Alligator mississippiensis: one gene and its partners. The protein of the gene in region 2 purifies or fractionates together with the protein of the main gene of each other region. This does not show direct contact. Links are inferred from orthologs where the notes say so. Each region holds a gene or a part of one and is shown on either strand. Other genes may lie near its edges.

Evidence for each region.
Region 1: the proteins of UTRN (region 2) and SNTB1 purify together in Homo sapiens (affinity purification with mass spectrometry; 3 studies listed by BioGRID and IntAct, with this or other methods). This does not show direct contact. The link is inferred for Alligator mississippiensis from reciprocal best matches to the Homo sapiens genes UTRN and SNTB1.
Region 3: the proteins of UTRN (region 2) and SNTB2 purify together in Homo sapiens (affinity purification with mass spectrometry; 4 studies listed by BioGRID and IntAct, with this or other methods). This does not show direct contact. The link is inferred for Alligator mississippiensis from reciprocal best matches to the Homo sapiens genes UTRN and SNTB2.

Annotation. Positions count from the first base shown.
Region 1 is NC_081826.1:22,277,874-22,281,618, reverse strand, and holds the start of SNTB1 (beta-1-syntrophin), read right to left. Parts: upstream 2,178-3,745; 5' UTR 2,097-2,177; coding exon 1,571-2,096; intron 1-1,570. UniProt on the Homo sapiens protein: Adapter protein that binds to and probably organizes the subcellular localization of a variety of membrane proteins. May link various receptors to the actin cytoskeleton and the dystrophin glycoprotein complex.
Region 2 is NC_081824.1:124,457,874-124,461,618, forward strand, and holds the start of UTRN (utrophin), read left to right. Parts: upstream 1-1,335; 5' UTR 1,336-1,350; coding exon 1,351-1,444; intron 1,445-3,745.
Region 3 is NC_081833.1:76,224,656-76,228,400, reverse strand, and holds the start of SNTB2 (beta-2-syntrophin), read right to left. Parts: upstream 2,670-3,745; 5' UTR 2,069-2,669; coding exon 1,213-2,068; intron 1-1,212. Other genes in the region: UTP4 (U3 small nucleolar RNA-associated protein 4 homolog), read right to left, coding at 2,816-2,932, 3,133-3,243, 3,698-3,745. UniProt on the Homo sapiens protein: Adapter protein that binds to and probably organizes the subcellular localization of a variety of membrane proteins. May link various receptors to the actin cytoskeleton and the dystrophin glycoprotein complex.

The DNA of each region.
Region 1 (3,745 bases), on a different chromosome or scaffold from region 2:
ATTCCTCCTGATCCACAGGATGTACAGTTACTTTCCACTGCAGAAGATGCAGAGCAGATCAATGGGTTGCTCATTTTTTACTGCCAAAGACCCCGCTAGAGTTTACTTTTCCTCCCCAACTCCCCAGAGAAGCTTTTACGGCATTTCCTTTTCATACCCCACATTCAGTAATTTGCATGCGACCTCAAATGCACCCCTGAGGCTGCGGTCCAATTCCCCATGGCTCCGCAAGAGGGTCCCAAAGTTCCTTAGTAATTCAAAAGCGGCACATCAGAAGCTGCTGTGGTTTAGAAATATCAGAAGGACCACTTGAAAAATGACTGAGCAAATCTATTTCAAAGCAAAACAGGAGATAAAGAAAAAAAAAATCCAGAAGCAGGCGTGTCACACCGCTCCACAAATGCCAATGACCCTTCGATAAATGAACTTACGTGCAAACAAGCAGGTACTTTAATCAAACATGGGCACCAAGGGCATTTTCTCTCTAATGTACACCGAGTTTTTTTCCCCTTCTTTTCAGCTGTTCCTTCTCTCAAATCTAGTAAATACATTAACCCTCCAGCAAAAAGGGGGGGGGGGGGTTAAACTCTTCTTTTTCTAAGCCTGAAGATTTTTGTTTCTGATCCTGAGCTCATTGTCCCCTGTTTCGTACCCTTGGAGCGCTTGCTTTCAGCTGGGTGTCCTCGGAGGTGTGTGCCAAAGCTTTAGAGCACTGTGCATGTTGGACTCCGTCTCGAGGGCGGTTTCTAAAAGGCTGTCTCGCGCTTGGGAAAGGAAAGTCTCTGCTTTGCGTGTTTTGAAATGAATGTTTCAGGGAGACCCTGGCCAGGTCCCCTCAAGTTTATTCTCTCCCTTTGCATAAACTGGGGCATTGTGCGCGTGGGGGGCACATTTCAGTCGTTCCAGGCCAGGCGGGTTGGCACAGCCCTGCACGACCTGATCTGCTCGTTTCTCTCTCCTGGCTGAGTGAAAGTGGCCGGGCTGTCAGCCTCCGAGATCCCAGGTGCTGTTAACTCCTCCCTGCCCAGTCAAACCTAGCGCTTGCCTGGATGAAAAGGCGCTGGTGCCGCTTTCAATCCACACGTGGGTCACTGCAGAGACATGGCACAAGGCTCAGCGGGCTGGGGTGGCACCTACACTTCTGGTGGCCCCGGACGAACTTTTAGTATTGCCCCCCTTTGCCAGAGAGAATGATAATCATAATTAAAAAATACCATTTTCAGGCCCCCTTTCTGTCCAGACCCCGAGCGGGTGCCTGCGTCCGGCCCTGGCCGAGGGGGCAGAGCTCAGAGACCCTCAGCCCCCACCCCACTTGCCCCTGGCACCTCCAGGGCACAGGCAGCAGAGACCAGCCAGCCTCAAACCGGAGTCACTCCATTTAAGCCCTTCCGTGCCGCACACAGCACTCATGCATCCTGGGGCTAGGGGGGGACCCCCAAGCACATTAACCCTTTACCTTCCAGCAGGGACCAGCCAGCCCCAAACCGGAGTCACTCCACTTAACCCAACACACGTGCACCAGGGCTGGGGGGGGTGGGGGGGAACCCTCCTCGGCGCATTAACCCTTTACCTTCCAGCAGCACCTCCTTGCCCGCCCGCTTGAGCGCCTGCACCGCCTCGTCGTGCGTGGCGTCCCGCAGGTCCGTGCCATTGACAGCCAGGATGGCATCGCCCACGTACAGCGCCTGGGTCTGGTCGGCCGCCAGCCCCTTGAAGATCTTGCTGATGAGGATGGGCATCTTGTTCTCCTTGCCGCCCTTGATGCTGATGCCCAGCCCGCCCAGCTCCTGCTTCAGCACCTTCACCCGCCGCTTCTGGTTGGACAGGCTCTCGGGCACCTGCTCGGGCGGGTCGGTGAAGGCGGTGCGCACCCCCGCCGCCGTGGGGCTGCCGCCCGGGGACGCCCCGTTGCCGCCCAGGCCGTTGTGGGCCGCGCCGTCGGGGCGCTCGTCGCAGCTGAGCACCAGCGCATCCTCGCCCAGGTGCACCAGCACCCGGTGCCAGCGCTCCCGCACCAAAACTTCCAGCCAGCCGCTGCGCTGCGCCCGGCCGCCGCCCGCGCCCGCGCCCGCGCCCGCGCCCGCCGCTACCGCCATCTTTGGAGCATTCTTAAAATACCATGTGATTGCACACACCGGCACCCGGCACGGCTCGGCGCGGCGCGGCTCGGCACTGCACGGCGCGGCGCGGCGCAGCGCGGGACTTCGCTCCGCGGACGGGGCGGGGCGGGGCGGGGCGCGGCGGCCCCTCCTCCTCCTCCTCTTCCCGCCCTCCCCCCAGGGGCTCCGGTGCCGAAGTTGCAAACAGGGTGGCAGGGCTCCTCGTCCTCGGCCCGGTCCCACAGGTGGGAAGGGCGCCCTCGCCGGAGCGACTCGCGACCCGGTGTGAACGGCAGCTAGAAAGAGGCGCTGCGGCGCGGGGCAGCTCCGGGGGACGCGGCCGTCCGCGCTGTGAGGGGCCGCGCGGGTCGCCGGCACCGGGGCCAGAAGGGGAGGCTTGGTTTTATGACGACAGGACTAATGACACGGTGTCTTGGGGTGATTCTTGGTCGAGTTGGGACTTCTAGGTAATAGAGGACATCGCAAGTTTTCATGGGCACTCCAATAAAGTGTTTGGGTTTTTTTTCCTTCCATTTTAAATTGAGTAACTATAGCTCCAGGCCCCTAGCTGATTAGTGAAGCTTCTCATTTCTTTTTCACTGGAGAAACGTGTACGACACCATCTGCACCCTTTTTCTCAAAATCCTGGATCCACCCGTCATTACGGTGCTATTTGGAAGAGTGAAGTTGAAAGCAGTTACAGCGACTGGGATGCTGTCTTTCTGGGACAGAGTGACTGAGTTTAAAACACGCACACATACACACAGACGTACACGCTCTCACACATTTTCTCCTGGGGAAATTTGCTGGGGATATTACTGTGATACAACCTGCTAGGAAAAACAGCCAAAACAAATCCGGTTCAACGCCCCCCACCAAAGCGTGATCCCACAAGCTGCTCCATGTGCACACAGCTGTGCTCCCAGCATGGGCAGCTCTGTGCACAGCTGCTTGCAAGACCCGAGCAAGAATCACAATGTCTGTCATCCTGGTACAAACCATCGGAAAAAAAAACAGAGAAAAGACGAACTTAGAGAATAGAAGATTGTTAAAGTCAGGCTCTTACCAGAAAGCAAAACAGGGTTAATTCCTTCACTGAAAATACCCACTATCCCACCTGGTATGATGAACCAGAGAACTGCTGGCTCCTTTAGCTGAATCTCAATTGAAGCAGCTTCACTGGGAGAAAGAAACAACCCGTGGATCACGCATGACCTAAGTTGTTAAGTGCTTTATAATGTCACCCTCCATTGCCTACTTGCTGGATTTTTCAACAAACATCTTTATGCTTCATCCAAGTGCTTCTCATGTGGTAAGTATCCACAAAGCCACCTCATTACCACCCCCCTTCAGATTCTTCTTGCGACTCTCCTTTGCTGCGATGCCTACAGAAAACTCAAACAGGCAAGCTGGTGATGTACTATATTGCCTAGCGTGCTGATCAATACTCATCCTTTACATGTGCTCACCTGTTATATGTGATCTCTTGTGTTACAGTTGGTTTACATGATGAACTCTCCTGAACAAATTCTGTATTTGTATGTTGTCTAACAACATGGGATTCTGGTACGTGGCTAGTACTCCTAAAGACCGTGGTAATAAAATAAATAAAAACAACATCTTCAAATGCACCTTGAATCTATATG
Region 2 (3,745 bases):
AAACTCTTCTTTAATCTTTTTAATCCCAGTTACCTCAGTTACCTGTTGTTACTTACCATTTACCATCAGAAATATACAAAATATAGCTTGTGTTAAAGCACGTGTAACCATGACTTTCATAAGCATGTTTCAGAATTAAATTGAAGCACTTTTAATCTGCCATTTCTGAGATTCAGCATGCTCTTCTGTTGACCATTTGAAGGGTGGGAGCGGAGTTGCATGTTTTCTGTGTGTATGCGCTAAATGTAATTTTTAACTTATCGTTAATTTCAGGTATGTACAGTTGTTCCAAACCAGGGTCAGATAAGGAAATGGACCAGGGTTAGGCTGATCTAAATGCCCAATCATTCAAGTGCTCAGAGGTCTTAAATTGGGCAAAAAAGGCATGCCTGATTTAAATGTTGTTCACCTAAGTAGGTGTACAAGCATATATTGATATTCTGCTAACCTGATTTAGGAAACCTGAGCTTGTGAACATCTGCATGTGTTTATGGTGCAGCCCCAGGGCTGGGGAAGCCCCAGCCACTTTCCCCAGCCTGGGGCCATGCTAGTCCCCCTGCCCCACTAGCTGCCTATACCTAGATTGGGTGTGGTGACCTTAAGATTGCTTGGAGTTGATACTCTGGCATTTGTCTTGGTGTGTCTACTTCATGATGATCTTATCTTTGTAGCTTACATGAAAACAAACGTTGGGATTTTCATATCAGCAGTGGGGTTTCACCAGCGATCTGCTAAAATGAAAGGAAGATGTAGTGCTTAAATTCCTTGTACGTCTTTGAAATACCCAAACTAAAATATGTAACTGGTACCTGCCTTCAGAACAGTTTATTACAGATAGCTTTTCATAGAAAAAAAAAAATCAGAGAAGCAAAGTGCTTTATCAATGGTCATTGTTGTTTGTAGCTAACAGGAGTATGTATACAGCTTTTAAAGGACGTTGCTTGAAACTTCAGCAGGCTATTTGTTTAGAACAGCAGAGGGCAATCGCCACAGGTTCTTTCCTACCTTCAGCCCTGTAGAGTTTTTAACTTGCTATAGTTTTGAAAACAGGAAGGAAAAGAATTAACTTTTTGTTAAGAACACCCAGCAGTATATTGGTACCTTTATAAATAGGGACCTCTCTCTAATCATTTGAGCCCACATTGTTTGCATATATTCTTTAATACTGAAAAGTTTACTTGTTTCCTGAGTGGCTCACACTGTTGCAGTTTGTCAAGTTCTCCTCTTAAAAAAAACAAATTCTCCCCTCCCACCCTCCCTTTCAAATCCCAGCATGCAGTTCTCATGAGTGTACTTGCAGGCACTTCCTTTCCATCCTCATTTTCCTGTTTTTAAACATAAAGCTTGAACATGAGCATCCAGACATGTAAAAAACTTCAGTGGAAAAAGCATATGTTTTCTATGCCTGGGGATATTGACATCCAGGCTTGCTCTCTTCTACCAGGTGAGTAAGTATTTAAGACATAAGTGTATTTTCAAGACCAGAGGACAAAAAAAAGTAAATGAATGTTATTTCTGTCTACCTTTATCTGATGTAAGTTTTCTAAGTCTAATAGCAACATGTCATTGAAGACAGGCAGGAAACAGTCCAAGGAAAAGACGGTTTACAATCTGCTGTTTGTGGCACAACTCCGTTTTAAGTACTGTGTGAATTGTGGCTGGCTAAACACTCTCAGATCCGTTCACCTTCAGCTGTTTTTTAATCTAAATATTTCTTCTCAGCATACATTTGGTGAAAGTTCTCCTATTCTTTCACTGGTTGGCTTCCTTTGAAACCATGTAAAAATTAAACATGAGAGGAAGCTGGACAGTTTTGCTAATGTTTCTTTTTATCAGAAAGGAAACTACATCATTTTCAGTTGATGATCTTGTTGACTGCACTTTTATAGTGTTCTGCTCATTGTGATTGCTGAGCATATTGAATTAACATACATCCTTAACTTCACCACCATTTACATTCCAGTAAAGATGAATGAAATCTGATGTAATGAAAAATAAAGTAGGTGGACTTTTGGTAGAGAAGAAACTGGGACCACTCTTTCTTTTTTTGTTGAGACTTTTTAGGGATTGCTAGTTCCAGTGGTATGGGGCCAAAGCCAAAAAAAACGTGACTAGCAGAGCAGTGTCAGTGTGAAGACATCCACATAGGTGAATCTCAGTGTTCTAGATGACATTATGCCTCTGACAGGGCATGGTATTTCAGACCTTAAGGGCCTCATGCCAGTCAGCTTGGAGACTGATTATTTGATAATATAAAGTGACTCCATTGACTCCAAACTAGCTAAGCAACAGAGAGTTTAGCCCATCTGTTTTATTTCATTTCAGTTTTGACCTGAATTTTGGATACTAGAACAAGAGAGGAATTTCAGATTTTAAGTGAAGTGATATAATATGATCTATTTACAGTCTCATAAATATGTACATAGATCTGGAGCAATGGAGCTGATCTGGTGTTTAAGCAGAATAAATGAGATCTGCATCTAGCCCTTATTCTTTTAAGGGCCTAATCCAGCCTAAACTTCCATTTTAGCTGATGTAAATTTCTGGGCATGCTCAGTGGATTTAGTTATAACTTTACAAGTGCCTTGAGATCCTTTTGAGGGTGCCATAAATTGCCACAGAATGTTAGCACTGTTAAGTTTACAAACATGATTCACAAAAACCCAGAGATTTCCTATATAAATCCATAGTCGTGGTCTTTCTGAGTTTTTTACAGAGAAAAAAAGCTCTGTTTTTTTTCTGTAGTTAAAAATGAGTGAAAACTAGTTGGCATTTTCTGAAGGGTGCCTCAAATATGTCCAGGGATGCCTCCGGTCTCAGAAGATTGAGAACTGCTGCACTAGGGAGCTGTGTGTTCACCCTGGCTGAGAATCATTGCTCTAGTTATACACGGATGAGTTTCTAAGCGTGCTCAGTCCAAACTGTGAATAGGGATGGAGTACAAATGTAAACCCTCCTAGTTAAATTTTTGCTAATTGCTTCTCTAAGTGCTAGATGTGTGTTAATATGCAGAATTTTGTGTTGGTTTAAAAGCTTCTCGTAGAGAGAATTAGCTTTCTTCCCATAAGGTTAAAGTTCATTACTGCGCTGTCAAATTCATTACTGCATTGTCCAAAATATCTGTAATGCTCATTTGGAGTGTGTGAAGGACATATACATTGACTGGGAACATCTATGTGTGCATTAATGCACTTTTCCTAATATGCATTAAATTTAGTGCCTCCAATAAGAGGTACTAAATAAATGCGCATTTAGGTTGCACTAATGTGCAGTAGTGTAAGCACATGCTTTTTAGGTGATGCTTAATGTGCAATAGCTTATTCTATTGCTCATTAGCATATTAGCACTTTTTTTATGCACCACTTTAATGCACAGTAGAATAGGCTGCTGCACGTTAAGGCACACACAGACATGCCACAGATACTTTAAAATGACCCCAGGGAAAGGAATTAAAATTGATAGAGAAAGATTAGGATAGATTGGATTTGGGAATGGGGAAGGGGGAGGAAGAGAACACTGGAAACTAAATAGAAAAGCTAAATGCAAATAGTTTCTCAAACTCCATTTCGTTCAGTTTTGAAGAGAACAAGCAAGCTGAAATATTGTAAGGATGAAAAAAAGAGAAGTCAATATGAGGGTAAAATACCCTTCTGAGTATAGGTGGAAAACAAAAGAATAAAATAAAATAAAATATTTTATTTTGTTCTTTTATTCTTTTGGGGAATAAAATACAGAAGGTGGGAAA
Region 3 (3,745 bases), on a different chromosome or scaffold from region 2:
GGCCTGCGCGGACCCATCGGGTACAGCCGAGCAGGTGTAAATCCAAATCCACCCACCTGGCTGACCCGGCCTCCCACGGGACTGCAGCCGGCACCCCTGCGGCAAGAGCACCGCAGCCCAGCACTAGCCGCAGCCCCGCGGGAGGGGGCCATCACGGCCGCAGGAACGGGCAGCACAGGCCAGCGGGCTTCACCTGGTGCAGGCTGGGTGCAATACCGTGGGGAGGGCGTTTGCTCCAGCTCCCTTCCCTCAGCTCTCCATCAGCAAAAGAATCACAGGAGCCAACCCCTGCAGGAAACCACAGCCGAGGAGCGCGGGCACCGTGGATCTGCCACCACAGCCCAGCACGCCGAGTCACAGCACAGCCTCTCCAGGAACCCGGGTTTCTCCCGATTTCCCCAACACACCGGACATGCTTAAGCTTCTGCTTTCTGCTCCGTGCAGAGAGAAGCTGCTGGGCTTCCCCCTTCTCGCAAGTGCCGACGTGAGGCCGTCAGGGACCAATAACCTATGCCATCAGCTCCTCGAGCCACCGAATTACGGCAACAAAGCAAGAGCCGCAGAAGCAGGCCCCGCACGCGCACGCAATCCCGGGCTCCAGCGAGGACCGCATTCTTTCCGGGCGCGCAGCAGCAGTGTGCGAGCTGCGTCCTGCCCGATATGGCCTCAGCCAGGCCGGCGCAGACGGCAGCACCCGCGGATTGACATTGCTTCTCGCCGCAGCTCCGCGCTTCTCCAGCCGAGCGGGGCCGTCTCGCCCCGGCTGATGCCGAGGGGTTTCGACCCCTCTCCTGCCCTGGAGCAGCCGTGCAAAAGCTTGCCATCAGGGCCCAAGCGAGAGGGTTTGAGTTCACAACGCGCCAAGGCCAACAACACCTCCTAGCCATCCTCCCCCTGCTCTGCCACCCACGCACGAGCCAGCGCCGACCCTGGGAGTGCCACGAGCCCCGGCCCTTTGGAAAACCAAAGATATTTCTGCTGGGCGAGGCTTGTTCCCACCGCCTGAACACCTCCTCGCGTGCAGCACCCAGCACTCGCCTAGAGACAGAGCAATGGGGCAGGGACCAGCCCTACAACCACCAGCCACCGCCCTGCCCGGTCGTTGCTCCCTGCGGTGCCTGCAGGAGCAGGGGAGGGGGACGGGGTGGCCCAGCTGTGCAGGGAGGCTGGGCCGGGGGCAGGTAGGAGGGAAGCCGGGCCGGGGGCAGGTACCTTCGAGCAGCACGTCGCGGCCGGCCCGCTTGAGCGCCTGCACGGCCTGGTCGTGGGTGGCGTCGCGCAGGTCGAGGCCGTTGACGGCCAGGATGGCGTCGCCCAGGCGCAGCGCCCCGCAGCGCTCAGCCGCCAGCCCGGGGAAGATGCGGGAGATGAGCACGGGCATGCGGTTCTCGCGCCCGCCCTTGATGCTGATGCCCAGCCCGCCCGCCTCGGCCTTCAGCACCCGCACGCGCCGCACGCCCGACCCGGGGCTGCCCGGCGACTCGCCCGGCCCAGCACCATTGGGCAGCGCGGGCTCCCCGGGCGGCTCGGCCGGCTCCGACGTGAGGGTGAGCGCCTCGCCGCTCAGCTCGGCCACCACCCGCACCCAGCGCTCCCGCAGCAGCAGCTCCAGCAGCCCCGCCTTGGAGGCGCGGGTCCACACGGCCATGGCGGGGCCCCCGCCGGCCCGGACCCGCCGCCGCCGCCCGCCCCGCGCGACTGCCCGCGCACGCCGCCCTCCCGCCGCGCCCCCCGCACACTTTGCAAGGCTAATGAGGAGGCTCGTCTCCCATTGGCGGAGGCGCGCGGCGAGGCGGCCAGCCCCGCCCCCCAGGGGCGGGAGGTGGGACAGCCACATCCTCCCCAAGGGGGGCGGGTCTTGCTCAGGCCCCGTACTGATAAATATGAATGAGGCCAGCGGGGAGGAGGGCTGCGGCGCCCCCCAGGGGAGGCTCCGGGAAGTGCAGGGGGGAAATCGAGGCACAAGGTGGAGGGAGAAGGGGTTGTTTCCACACTGCAAAGGGGTGTCACTCTCCCCCTTTTGCAGATGGAAAGACTGAGCCAGGCTGCAGCTAAGGGAGGGGCCCATGGTCCACCCCCACGTCCCAGTATCCTGCACCAGCTTCACCCAGAGCCACTCTGACCCGCTGGGCAGGCCCTGCCGGGGTAAGCACAGGCAGAAGACCAGCCAGTGGCCCTGAGTCAGCACCGCCCTGGGGTGTCGAGCATGGCAGCGTCCCGTGCCTCCAACACCTGCTAGGAGCACGCAGCAGGCTGGCAGCTGGGAGAGGAGGCAGCCAGTCCCTGCCTCCCCCCAGCAGCTTCGGTTTCCAGCTCCGGCAGCCTGGTTACAGCAGGATTGTCCCTGCTGCAGCCTGGGGAGGCCGTGAGCAGGGGAGCACAGCCAGGTTCGGTGCCTGGCAGCAGGCCCAGAGAGAAGGAGGGAGAAGAGCAGCCCTGAGCCCAGGGCATCCCTGGGGAAGGGCTGCTGGACTTTTGCTACACTGCATTACCCGTAGGGCAGGGGCAGTGCTCTGCGCCAGCCATGCCTGGCCCTGACTCTCAGGAAGGACGCTGGGCCCTCCTGGGGCCCCTGCGCCTGCTGTCGTCGTTCTCCCAAGCAACTGTGCTCCCAGCAGCGTGGTCACTGCTCCCCGCACAGGGAGCAACACACCCAGGACACACCGGGTGACTGCAGCCCCCAGCCCCACCTGGCTGCGCCGTGCCACGAGGAAAGCAGGGAGCTGCGGAGGAAGAGCACAGCCCTGGGGAACCACGGGGGTTTATTGCAGCAGCACCGGAGCATGGCAGCATAGTGTCCGTGACCCGCTCCGCCCTACGTGCCGAACTTCTTCTGCTGGACGGGTGGGGGCAGCTGGGTCTGGATGTCCGTCAGGGGCCGCTCCACCACCACCAGGCAGTCCTCGTCCAGCAGGTCCATGAACAACAGGGGCTGCAGGGCAGCAAGAAGCACGGGGTCAGAGTGGCTCTGGGAGCACAGGAGCCCACAAGACCCAGCTCACGGCTCCACTGATGGGGAAGTGGCGTGCATGGCCCCGCCGCAAGCAGCTGCACTGCTGCGGCTGAACAGGGCAGCACCCCTGGAGAGGTCAAGCCAGTGCCCCGCACCCCATGCAGCCCCAGGGCACAGACCTGGTACTTCTTGCAGATCTTGAAGGCGTGAGCGTGGCCCCGGCGGGCCTTCTCTGAGAGCTGCTTGAGCAAGGCCTGGTTGTTCAGCTGGGTGTTGTCATCGGGCAGGGGCTGGGGAGACGGCATGGGTTGAGGTTTCCTGATGTGGGGGACGCTGTGCCCACCCTCAGGCACCCCCCAGGGCTTTTAAGGGGGTCTCTGCTCCGTAGGAGCATAGCCAAGCACCCGGAGAACCAAGCTCTCTGAGGAGGTGGCAGGGTGGGCTGGAGGGAGGCTGTTCCCCAGGAGTTGCAGTCCTGCCCCACGCAAGGGGATGAGCCTTGTGGTGCTCAGGTAGGCAGAGGCCTGTTCTGTGTCCAGCGCCACACTGAATCCTGCAGGCTTATGACCAGAGCACAACACCCAAGCCATTCCCACAGACAATGACTCCCGCAAAGCACCCTTGTCCCAGCCACAACCAAGGACGTGGCCACAGGACTCCTGGTCAGAGAGGCTGCAGGGGCCAGCCCCGGAGAACCACCTGCCCCCCCACCTTGTCCAGGCAGGTGGCAGGGCGCAGACTCACCAGGGACTTGTCCAGGATGCAGAGCATGTACGTGTCGTGTAGGAGCAG